Linked DNA regions of Rattus norvegicus. The protein of the gene in region 1 interacts with the protein of each later gene in a pairwise test. Links are inferred from orthologs where the notes say so. Each region holds a gene or a part of one and is shown in the gene's direction. Other genes may lie near its edges.

Region 1 (5,848 bases):
ACTTATACATATAAAATAATAAAAATAAAATCCCCCTCCCCACCAGAAAAGATCCCATGTCCTGCTGGATACAGTGACTTATACTAGTAACTGTTATTTGGAAGGCTGAGGCAGGAGGGTTGCTTTGAATTTGAGGCCAGCCTTGGCTACTGAGTGAAATACTTGATATCAAACCAGCCAACAAATGAAGGTGCAAAGTTGTCTTAGTCACTGTTCTCTTGCTGTGAAGACACAGCTGGGGGCTTACTTACACTTTTAGAATCTTAAGCCGTTATTATCATGGCAGGGAGCACAGCAGCAGGCAGGCATAGTGCTGGAGATATAGATGAACCACAAGCAGAGAGAGAGAGACATTGGACCTGGCGTGGACTTTTGAAACCTCAAAGCCCACCCCCAGTGACACACTTGTTTCAACAAGGCCATGCCTTCTGAACCTTCTAATCTATCAATGAGTTTTACTTTGTGGTGACTGTATGAGCCTATGAGGGACATTCTTACTTAATCCACAAAGGTATACATGAGTTCCTGGATGTAAACCCTGTGTTCTGACCTCACCTCTTTTTGCAGGTGTGGCTGGAGGGCTGACCAACCTGTCTAAGATGCCTGCCTGCAACATCATGCTGTTGGGAGCCCAGCGCAAGACACTGTCTGGCTTCTCTTCTACCTCAGTGCTGCCTCACACTGGCTACATCTACCACAGTGACATTGTGCAGTCTCTGCCCCCAGTGAGTACTTCACCTTGACCCCTAGCCCCAGCCACTAGGCCTTATCTGGCTTGGCTGGCAATAGCCCTCAGGCTCCTGGAGGATGAGGCAACATGGTTGGAAGAGCAAGGATACTATTCTGGGTCTGCCACTTGGCAATGAGGATGGTTGGGTGGCTGGAAACCAGGGGCAGCTAGAGCATACCCCTCAAGAGGCAGTTATTAGGAAAGCGCACAGGCATAAGGCCTACCTCCCAGAGTCTGGGGTATGGCTGGCCCTAGATGAGAAGTGATTATTGTAGTGGCTGTTACCTTTGCTAGAGGTTCAGTTTCCTTTCCCCTTCCCATTGCTCTAGGATCTTCGGCGGAAGGCAGCCCGCCTAGTGGCTGCCAAATGTACACTGGCAGCTCGTGTGGACAGTTTCCATGAGAGCACAGAGGGGAAGGTGAGGAGAAGATCTTTTCCTTGTGCTTGGGGTCTTTTCATAGGAAGATGCTACTTCAGAGAGCTGTCCAGACTAGCAGACGGCAGTGTGTGTCTCAACCCCAACTAAGGTCATCACATTCTCAGCTCTGTCTATCAGTTATAGAACAGCTATGACAACTCACTGTAGATGGAGTAACTACATATAAAAGTTTGGTAGACCTGCTAGCTCATATCTTTAACATCAGTACTTGGGAGGCAGAGGCAGAAAGGTCACTAGTTTTCGGCAGTCTGGGTTATATAATAAATTTCAGGCTAGACTGGGCTGCATAGTAAGATCTTGTCTTTGAAAAAGGAAAAAGCACAGAGCCAGAGATGTGACTCCATAACTTAAGTTCCTGCATGCAAGCGTTGAAGACTTGTTCAATTCCTAGTACTCCTGTTAAAAAACAAACAGGCCCAATAGTACATACCACTAACTAACCCCATTGTTGGGAAGATGGAAGAGGGAGGACATTTGGAGCTTGTAGGCCTCTCAACCAAATCAGTAAGCTCCAGATTCAGTGAAGAGACCCTGTCTCAAGAAATAAGGTAAGGAGGTAGTGTAGAAGCCATGTGATACCAAATCTTTGGTGTTTTGTGGGTGCACGCATGTGCACGTACACAGTTTCACTGGACTAACATTAGGTGTTAGACGGGCAGTTCCCATTTGTAGGCTCCTGGGAAGAAACACTCCTGCCCCTGTCTGTATCAGAGTTTACTAGGCAAGGCAGCACCTTCAGCCCCTGACTGCTCGTTTTGGGCCCTTTGTTGAGCTCATACTGTCAATACAAGGTACTGTCACATCTCAGTCCTTAATCACATCTGCAAAGATCCTCTGCCATGTGAACTGTAGCCACGAATTCTAGAGACCAGGATACCTGACACCAAGGTGGAGCCCTGTGTTTGAGGGAACAGTGTTTTGCCCACTACAGTAGGACCTGTCCTGTGCTAGCAGGGGCATGATTCCAGTGATACCTTCTGTTTTTCTGGGTAGGCTTAAGAAATAGTGTTGTGTGCATTTCCCTACTAGAAATTACATTATAGCCCAAGTCAGGGGTTTAGTCTCTTTTGCCTTTTACCACTTTCTAAACAAGGCAGCATACAGCAGGGGATTACATAGGTGTCAGAGGTCTGCCTCCATGGCTCTTGTATATGTCTGTGGTGGGCATACTGGGATTGAACCTAGGACTCTACACGTACTATACAACTGATCTACCACTGAGCTGCATCCTCAGCTCACCCTCACCCTCACCCTTTTCAAGACAGGTCTCATCTCTAGTCCAGGAAAGCTTTGAAGGATTTTTGATCCTCCTGCCCCAGCTTCCCTGGTAGCTAGGAATGGAGGTCAGTGGTTACACAGCATTTATGTTCTAGTTGGGACCAAAACAAGGCAGTAGTCCTGAAAAGAACCTGTAGTGGGTTCAGTAGTGCTGTGTGAATACCAGGGACAATAAGGGGAATTGTGGGGTGAGGAAGCTTAGATTTTGACTGACTTAGGATGTGAAGAAGAGCTTTGAGGAAATTTTAGTATGGGCCTGTGTGAAGTTACAGTCAGTTCTGTGGATACTTGTGCTATCTACTTGGAAGAGTGTTCCAGACAGCGGGAATAGTGAGTGCAAAGAACCTGAGGCCAGAGTTTGGTGAAACCCAGCAGGGAGAGGAACTTGCTGTACCCAGGAGCAGATATGTACAACCTCTGGAGGCCTCTGGCTGCTGTGGAGGTACTGGAAAGCAAGCTAGCTGGGACCTGCTCTAAGAGGCCAGGGGATCAGTAGTGTGGTAGTAAGACAGTGGAGATGACATTCTGTCTGTTGACTAGGGATATGGGGATTCTGCCTGGCCCATTTATGTTTGAAGAACTCAGGCAGAGGAAATTTTCCAGAGGGTGCAGAGCTTAGATGTGAAGGCTAAGCTACAAGTTCAAGAGCAGTAGACACTGGAACCCACAGGATACCATTCCTGGAGAAAGGGAGAACATGTCTTTGGGAGGGTACACCATCAGGTGGTCAGATATACAGTAAATGGGTTGATGATACGTAGATGTGCAGCTGAGGGGACAGTCTACATTGCTGGCCACAGCTTCTCAACTCCCTGCTAGGTGGGCTATGAACTAAAGGACGAGATTGAGCGCAAGTTTGACAAGTGGCAGGAGCCACCACCTGTGAAGCAGGTGAAGCCCCTGCCTGCACCCCTTGATGGGCAGCGGAAGAAGCGAGGGGGCCGAAGGTAAGGAGTTTGATGTTTGGAGTTGGGAAAGGGAAACTTCTTCCCAGCCAACTGCCTATATCCTGTTGATACCCACCTTACCCTAGGTACCGCAAGATGAAAGAACGGCTAGGACTGACTGAGATCCGGAAGCAGGCCAACCGCATGAGCTTTGGAGAGGTCAGGTTCCATCCATAGCACCAATAGGACCTTGTAGGATCTTCTCTTTGCACATCCTGCTGCTATCCCTCCTCTCTACCCTGTAATCCAACAGCAGATCTAGGGCTACCCTAGCCTCCTCCATCCTGACTGGCCTCTCCTCTCAAACCACCTCCATGGTGATCTTTGCAGCTTCCCAGGCTGCATCTATATCTATCATCTAGGTGGTCCTGAAAGAATAAATGTAGGTGCTACCTTAGTAGTGCAGCTCATCCCAATTCTTGGCAACCTAATCTGAATGTAGAGAAAAAAATGACTACTCTACTCAGGTCAGGAACTAGTTCTTCCCAGGGTTCCTAGCTATACCCAAGCAGAGTTAGGGTAGGCTCTTAAAAGATTATTTAGTGCAGCCTGGCTAATGAGGTGATGCCCATGAGACTGGCTGATTGGAGAATCTGTGGGTTCTCAGTGGACTGCCCCAGGGTACGGCTGAATATACCTAGCTTCTTAACAGCAGGTTACTCCTATCTCACCAGATTGAGGAGGATGCCTATCAAGAAGACCTGGGCTTTAGCCTGGGCCACTTGGGCAAGTCAGGCAGTGGGCGTGTGCGGCAGACACAGGTGAATGAGGCCACCAAGGCTAGGATCTCCAAGACACTACAGGTATGATCTGGGCCCATGAGAATGGGAGGCAAATGGGACATGGAGGTCAGTAAGCTTGAATCACAGCCTCTTCTTTCCCTTACAGCGGACCTTACAGAAACAGAGTGTGGTGTATGGTGGGAAGTCAACAATTCGTGACCGCTCCTCGGGGACTGCCTCTAGTGTGGCCTTCACTCCACTCCAGGTACCGTACCCTTTTCTACCAGGCATGTGATAAGGCTGCTGTGGAGGCCTGTTGAGCTAGCACATGAGCTTAGGCATCCATAGCCGCACAGTAAGTGCCCAACAGTTGACCGTGACAGTTGTGACAAGCTCAGACCAACTTTGGAACCAGGCCTAGGACTCTGCCTGTGTGATCCAGATACTCTCTGAGCTTCCCAGTCTTTGCTTTAAGATAGCCCTGTAGTCAAGGTCATCAGGGTGGGCTTGAGTATCATACTAGTAGCACTGAGCAGTGTGAAGCAGAATGGCCTCAGGTTACTTACCAGAGAGATAGGCAAGTGTGTCCCATAATGTCACAAGGAACTAAAGAGCTCCCAGCTTGCCAGAACTGCCTACTGAGCAGCTGCCTACAAAGAGACAAGCTTTGCTTTGTGGGGAGAGGGGTGTTGTGGGTTGGAGAGTACATATGATTGAGTCTAATACACAATGTATTTGAAGGCATGGGTGTCAGGGAAAAGCAGGAGTGAAAGGTGATGGGGCCAGGGAAAGCCCAGAAACAATCAAGATAGTGCTGGCATTGTCACCACTGTGATGGTATGGGATTTGCAGGAAACTGGCTGGCTACGTCCCTCTGGGATTCAGTTTCCTTATCTAGAACCAGGCAGGAGTGGTGATTTTAGCATCACACAAGGTTAACAGTTCTGATATCCAGGACCTACCCCTACATCCACTGGGTCAAAACTCTCCCAAATTGAGGGAGTCTTTACTGACTATAAATGGTTCCTTGTCCACAAGAGTGTCTGGGAGACTCTGCATGTCTGGTTTTCATTCTAGAGGGAGGTTTGAGCTTCCCTACTTTACCTGTCACCCTCTTCCTTTCCAACCCAGGGTCTGGAGATTGTGAACCCACAAGCAGCCGAGAAGAAGGTGGCAGAGGCCAATCAGAAGTATTTCTCTAGCATGGCCGAGTTCCTCAAGGTCAAGGGTGAGAAAAGTGGCACCATGTCTACTTGAAGGGGCCCACAGCCCAGGTGGCCATCCACTGAAAGGACATAAAGGACTGGAGCTTCTGAAGTGACAGATATCCAGCCAGGAAGTTTGGTGTGGTGGAGGCAGCCTTCCATGCTCTGTCCTTGGCCCAAGGCCACAGCATCCAAGAAAAGGATGAAGAACCTTAGCCTGTCTCCCCCAGCACTCATGCTGCTGCTGTTCCAATCGGGCAGGAAGGTCTTCCACACACTCAGCTTTTTTACTTACAGGGGAAAAAGGAAGTGCTTTTTTTTTTTTTTTTTTTTTTTTTTTTTTAGACTGAATACAATTAAATGCATAGTGTCTAGCTCTGAACAGAGGGTATGATTTGTTTATGAAAGAACCAGAGGACTCAGAGCTGTGGGGCTTCCAGAGTGAGTAGCATGGACCCAGCTCTCTTTTGCTCTTGTCCTGGAATCTAAGAAAAACCCTGTCTATCTCTTAACACCACACTTAATG
Region 2 (5,848 bases), on another chromosome or scaffold:
CTTTAAATTGTTCTATGACCTTTAGAATGAACTGGTCATTTTCTATGAAAAGTTGCTGGAACTTTGGCAATGTGATGAGGTGATGTATTGGCTCCTTGAAATTGGTACACACTCCATGTTTGCTCTCTCTGGTTTATTAGGCTTTGACTTATTTTATTTTTTCATTTGGGCCCTCATTTTGGCTGCCTTTCAGGGTTGGTTAATCCTTTGTGATGCAGTGTGCCTGCTGTTGGCCCTGCTTTCCTCTACAGAAGTGCTACTGGGATCTTTTGTGTCCTCCGTTTGCTCTGTGCTCCTGATTGAGGGTTCTAGTCCCCGAGTCTCAGCCCTCTGCTCAGGGCTGTGTGCTGTCTGCTGAGGAACAGTTCTTTCTTGGGTCTTCCCCATGAAGCTTACCTGTGGCAGCTGGACGGACGGGCTTGTTTTCCTGAGCGTGGTCTGAGCGTGTTGTAGGGTGTAATGGCTAGGACATGGATTAGTCCTTCATGTCTGTCTTTACACTCTGCTCTGATGCACCACAGCAGCGTGTAATTCAGGCTGATTCTCCAGACATGATCTCTGAGCCTGTGAGTCGGGGTCCACCTTGGTGGTGGGACAAGCTTGTTTTCAGACTTGTGTCAGGGCTTGAACTTTCCCACGGCCTCCTTAACCCTTCGCTGACTCATCTGGTCCTTAGTTCTGGCTGCCCTTGCTGCCCTGTCTGTGGTCTTCTTCCACAGGCCCTGCCATCTGCCTCAGTCCTGTTGTATGCCATGCCCTGAAGTTCCTCTGAAGGCATGAAGGCTGTTGGGGGACTCCCCTCATCCTGTCATTTTCCCCGGTACATATTTGAAACTATTTGTGAATGTGTGTGCCTGGCATGCATACGCTGTGGTGCACACTGGACGTCACAGGACAGGTGTATAGTAAGGAGGGTAAGGCATGACGGCAGAGGCTCTTGCCTCACCATCCTGTTCCATCATCTTGCTCCTGTACTTTCCAGATTGTAGTTTCTCACACAGGAAGTAGTGTCTGTCCCTGTGACTATCTTCTCAGTTGGAGGTAGATGTCTCCATCACAGTACGTTTGAAAAGCTGCTGGGGCTGCTCCTGTGCCCCAGGCTGGTAGCTTGGGTGGAGGAAGTCAGGGCCCAGGTTGGCAGGCCTAGGCTTGAATATTGTGTCATAGTGCTTAGCCATCACACTTTGGGAAAACTTCTGAGTTGTCCTTGTCCCAACTCCTAAGTTGACGGGTGTGTCTCAAGGAGCCACAGGTGCTGGACTCTTCAGTACAGTTCCCAGAGCCCTAGGTTGGGGCCAGCTTGGGACTTGATTTCCTTTGTGTCTCATAGTGGTGGACAGGCAGCGTGGGCCAGCTGCTGTGCAGGTTCAAGTTGTGGCTTGATCCTTCCATAGGATCGGGGTAAAGGCAAACAGACCAGAAGTCACAAAAGCTGAGCTGCTGTGATTTGGGCAGAGTAGATGGAGTGTTGGGGACTGAAAGCAAATGAGCAGACCCGGCCACCTCGCAGGTGACTTGGATATCCACAGTCTGCTGCAGCAGTGTTGCACTGTGAGCCCCAGGTCACCCCTCCACACACGCTCCAGTGCCAGCCCTGGAGCTCCTGGACTGTGTTGTCCTCTGGCCTGTTGTGAGGCCTTCCTGTAGTCTCTTGGGACACAGCATATTGCCTCAGATCAGGCCCTACTCCATTCTGCCAGTTCCCTGACAGAATAAAAAGGAATTGCTTTCTGAATTTTCATGTGTTAGTATTAGAAACTTCTCAGCTCTGTGACATCCCTGTACAATGTGGCTTTGTATGTTTTGCTCATTGTTTTCTTGGTCTGAAATCCTAGATTTGTGAAGTAATAAGTGAAAAAAATTCTGTTTTACTTTTAAAAATAGTAAAAGCCATCATTTTCTTGTTCTTCAGGAGCTCTTCTCTTATATTTGTCACGAGCCACGGGTCCTACAAAGAGTCAGGGAAGGAAGGCCCAGGAGGTGGGGCAGCCCTCAGAGGTCATGTGATGGGGGCCAGGCTCCCAGGGGCTCAGGGTCTAGACACAGCATAGCTGCTGCCCATGCTGGGACTGCCATGCTGTGGTGGGCGAGGCCAGCACTTCTTGCTAGCTGCTGTACTTGATAGGTTTTCTTCCCGCATCCCAGGGCCTGACACACTCGCTCCTCGCCTATGTATGAAACACGCAGGTATGTGCATCTCACACACCCTTAGGTGACCAGGTTAGCTAATTGCTACTGTGCCCTGCCCTTAGGGATGGGGGCCCGGGTGCCCAGCCCCCGTCTGTCCCAGAACAAATGATGATTTGACCTCAGGTAGCAGGATGGGCCAGCTGCTCACCTTTGGGTGTGCTCTGGGGTTGGTCCCTGCTAGCTTGTCTAGGCTCAAAGTATAGACCAGCCATTTCCTTGTCCTGGTTACTTTCCAGCTGGGACGCACCCTCGGGCCTCAAACTTAGTTCTTTATGGAGTCCCATGTGTGTTTGCAGCCTTACATCTTTCATGCTCCTTCCTGTCCCACCACATGGTGCCCCCGAGACTAGTATAGTTTCACTGTAATGAAGCGTGCCTGGCACGTGCATCGCAGTGTGTGTTTTAACACATGCACAACATAGAAGTGCTTTCCAGGGGCTGGGGATTTAGCTCAGTGGTAGAGCGCTTGCCTAGGAAGCGCAAGGCCCTGGGTTCGGTCCCCAGCTCCGAAAAAAAGAACCAAAAAAAAAAAAAAAAAAAAAAAAGAAGTGCTTCCCAGGTCAAGGGCCTTCGCGTTCCTTGTGGTCTTGGGTCTCCATTGCTTTGCAGCCCCAGGACACCCATCTCATAAAATGTCTTGTTTCTCCACGCAGGCATTTGGCCAGGCACACACAAACCACAAGAAGGTGGCTGCTGATGGAGAGAGCCGGGAGGAGAGCCTGATCCAGGAGTCCGCCTCTAAGGAGCAGTACTATGTGCGGAAGGTGCTGGAGCTGCAGACAGAGCTGAAACAGCTGCGCAATGTCCTTATCAACACTCAGTCTGAGAATGAGCGCCTCACGTCTGTGGCCCAGGAGCTGAAAGAGGTAAGTGGATGGGGCAACGTCTCTCACTGAAGCAGGCTCACTGAGGCTGCATCTTGCTCCTGTGGTCTCTCAGTTAACACACAAACAGTTCTGTGCCTGAACTGTGCCCTCCTCAGTGGTGTCATGAGCCCTCTGGCAGGCCCTGACTAGCATGATGATCGGCCCCTCATGGGGTTAGACCTAGTGTCCACAGGATGCTTTGTCATTGGTTGACTTTTGTTTGAAGAATGGTTTTTGGTTTTTTGTCTGTTTGGTTTTTGTCACACAGGGCTTGGCTGTGCATGAGTGAGTGGTAGGCCACACCATGTGCAAGGAGGAATGTCAAGGTCTAGTAGTGCAGTCTGAATAATGAGTGGCCCAACTTGTGATTTGGTAGTCACAGACAGAGATCAGCCAAAAGCCATGGAGACACTGTGGAACTTTGAGGAAAGAGGTTGAGGACCCATTACTAGAAGTCTCCACGTGCTAGATTCCTGGCTGAGGTCTGCCTACCTGTCCATGGTATTGGGAGTTAGGCTCAGGATCCTTCAGGCTTGGGATAACACTGACTTTAGCCCTCATTGCTCTAGAGGCTTAGACAAAGCCTTGTCTCCAGTCTCTGAAACCCTTTGTAGGAGACACTGTGCTCCTTCACTACACATCTTCCAAGCTCTCCCTGCCCATTTCTAGCTGTGGAAGCCTACCCTCTGCAGCATATGTTCTGACAGAAGTCAGCAGGATGCAGGCATGAGGGTGTGCTGTCGTCAGGGCCCTGGAGGCAGCTGTGTCCCAAGCAGGAAGTCACAGGGGAGGGAAAATGGGAGAGGCTGTTAGGAGGAAGGTGGTAGGAAAGGTCGTAAGGAATCCCCACATACCTGCGAGACCAAATCCAACCCAGAGGGGCCAGTGTTGGGCAATTAGGGGACAGTCATGCTAGGCCAGGAGACAACAGCAAAGGACAAAACAGATCTAAGAACAGTGTCAACGGTGGTGAGAGCAGACCTCTCCCTAGACAGGTGTGTAGGTGGTGAGGGCTGGCGGGCTGCCTGTGGCTGGGCTGCAGAGAGGGGGACACTTAAAAGCAAAGGCAGCTAAGGGTGTGTAGGGAGACTCAGGATTTCCTTCTAAAGCATAAACAGGAACAACAGGGATCTCTCCTCCACCCCAGACCTGCTGTCTTCAATCCACTGACTTCATTTCCGGCCCTGAACGGCCATCCAGCCTAGGTTGCCTAGGGGCTGAATGTGGGAGACAGTCGTGCACTGGCCTTTCAGGAAGGAGGGGTAGACAGATGGATTGTCAGTGGGGCTGTTTCTCTTCCTCAGTGACAGCCCCTCCTCCACCCTCACCAGAGCCACACTGTGGGAGGAAATGAGATCATGCACTGGGCTCCAGGAGTGGAAGCTGCCTTTCCCCACCCCCATTCAGACTGAGCTCAAGACCTCAAGGACCCCACACGAGGGGAAGTGACTACTCCCTGCTGTTGATGGCACTTGGGTCAGAGTTCTTGGGCCAACCATGTAGAGGCTTGACTCCAGCACACCCTTGTGGCCTGTGCTTTGCCGGACTGATGGCTAAAGCCAGGGTCAACTTTACAGCACCAGGCAACTTACCTGTGTCAGATAGTTCTGATGTCTAGACCCTTTCATTCTAATGGCCCTCTCCGGGTTTGGTCACATGGGGAAACTGAGGCTTACATTGTGGTGGAATAATTCTAGGTCCTGATTGTGATCTCTGTGCTGAGTGAAGAACCAGTAGTAGATAACTCAGTCAGTTTTCGTCTTATTGGCATTATTCCTGGTAGGTAGATGGGCATTTGAGGAATGTCTTGTTGCAGACAGGACACTGTTTCTCAGATGAATTACTGGAGTCCCACTGGTCCCAGTAGAGGACAAGAGTGCTCCCCTACGTGATTAATGGATAAGTGTCCTGTGTGGGAAGGATTGGGAGCTCAAGAGACCAAGAAAAGGATTGACAGTCCCCTAACACAGTGGCCTCCTGAGACAGGTGGTTGTCACACCCTTCGTGCTGGCGAACAGCTTGAAGTCAGGGGTCCAGGTGAAGGAAAGCAGGTGGCTAGGACCTCAGGTGGTGGCTCTGAGTCCATATGCCCACTGCTTATATCTGGGCTGGTCATCTGCACAGAGCAGAGCCTGTACCCTGCACCCTGGGAGGAGATGCTTTTCTGAGAGAAAACTAAACCCCTGTGGCTAGTTGGAGCCTGCTGGAGCTCTCAGGAACTGGGCATGTGATGGGTGGAGGTGGCAGGCAGCAGGCCAGCTGAACATCTCTGCTAAGCCTGGTGACTGGGGTTGGAAGTTGTCTCCATAGAAAGAAAGTGTATGTCTGAGTGCTGTACAGTCAGCAGAGAAGATGCAGTTAACCTGCCACATGATGTTACCTTGCTAGCACATGACTTACGTGCACATTTCTCTTTGCTTGTCTTTCCACAAGGATACCCATCCACAGGTCCATGCAAGCTCATACACTCCACCAAAGGGAAACTCCTTTTGGCTTGTGCCCTGGACCTGGGTCTAGCAGTGGGAGAAGAATAGAACTCCTAGAGAGCCTCAGGAAGGTCAGGTTTATAGAGGCGCTGAGGACTCACAGACCATCCGGGCACTGCTGTAGGAGATAACACTCCCGTGCAGCTCTGAACCTGGGCACTCAAGCCCCTACTTCTGCCTCCTCCTTCAACCACATGAGCTGCACTCTGCCCTCGCCATGTGGAAACTGCCATTTCGTGCCTTGGACTGCCTTCTAGTCTCTAATTCCTACCATGTAAGCCCTGAGGCAATGGTGTGACTCGGACC

Evidence for each region. The genes of interacting proteins can lie anywhere in the genome.
Region 2: the proteins of Prpf31 (region 1) and Bicd2 interact in binary tests that used the Homo sapiens proteins (3 or more experiments, as listed by UniProt). The link is inferred for Rattus norvegicus from reciprocal best matches to the Homo sapiens genes PRPF31 and BICD2.

Annotation. Positions count from the first base shown.
Region 1 is NC_086019.1:74,491,594-74,497,441, reverse strand, and holds part of Prpf31 (U4/U6 small nuclear ribonucleoprotein Prp31), read left to right. Parts: intron 1-567; coding exon 568-725; intron 726-1,059; coding exon 1,060-1,149; intron 1,150-3,267; coding exon 3,268-3,395; intron 3,396-3,481; coding exon 3,482-3,554; intron 3,555-4,069; coding exon 4,070-4,198; intron 4,199-4,283; coding exon 4,284-4,382; intron 4,383-5,248; coding exon 5,249-5,374; 3' UTR 5,375-5,848. UniProt on the Homo sapiens protein: Involved in pre-mRNA splicing as component of the spliceosome. Required for the assembly of the U4/U5/U6 tri-snRNP complex, one of the building blocks of the spliceosome.
Region 2 is NC_086035.1:15,482,321-15,488,168, reverse strand, and holds part of Bicd2 (protein bicaudal D homolog 2), read left to right. Parts: intron 1-2,843; coding exon 2,844-3,056; intron 3,057-5,848. UniProt on the Homo sapiens protein: Acts as an adapter protein linking the dynein motor complex to various cargos and converts dynein from a non-processive to a highly processive motor in the presence of dynactin.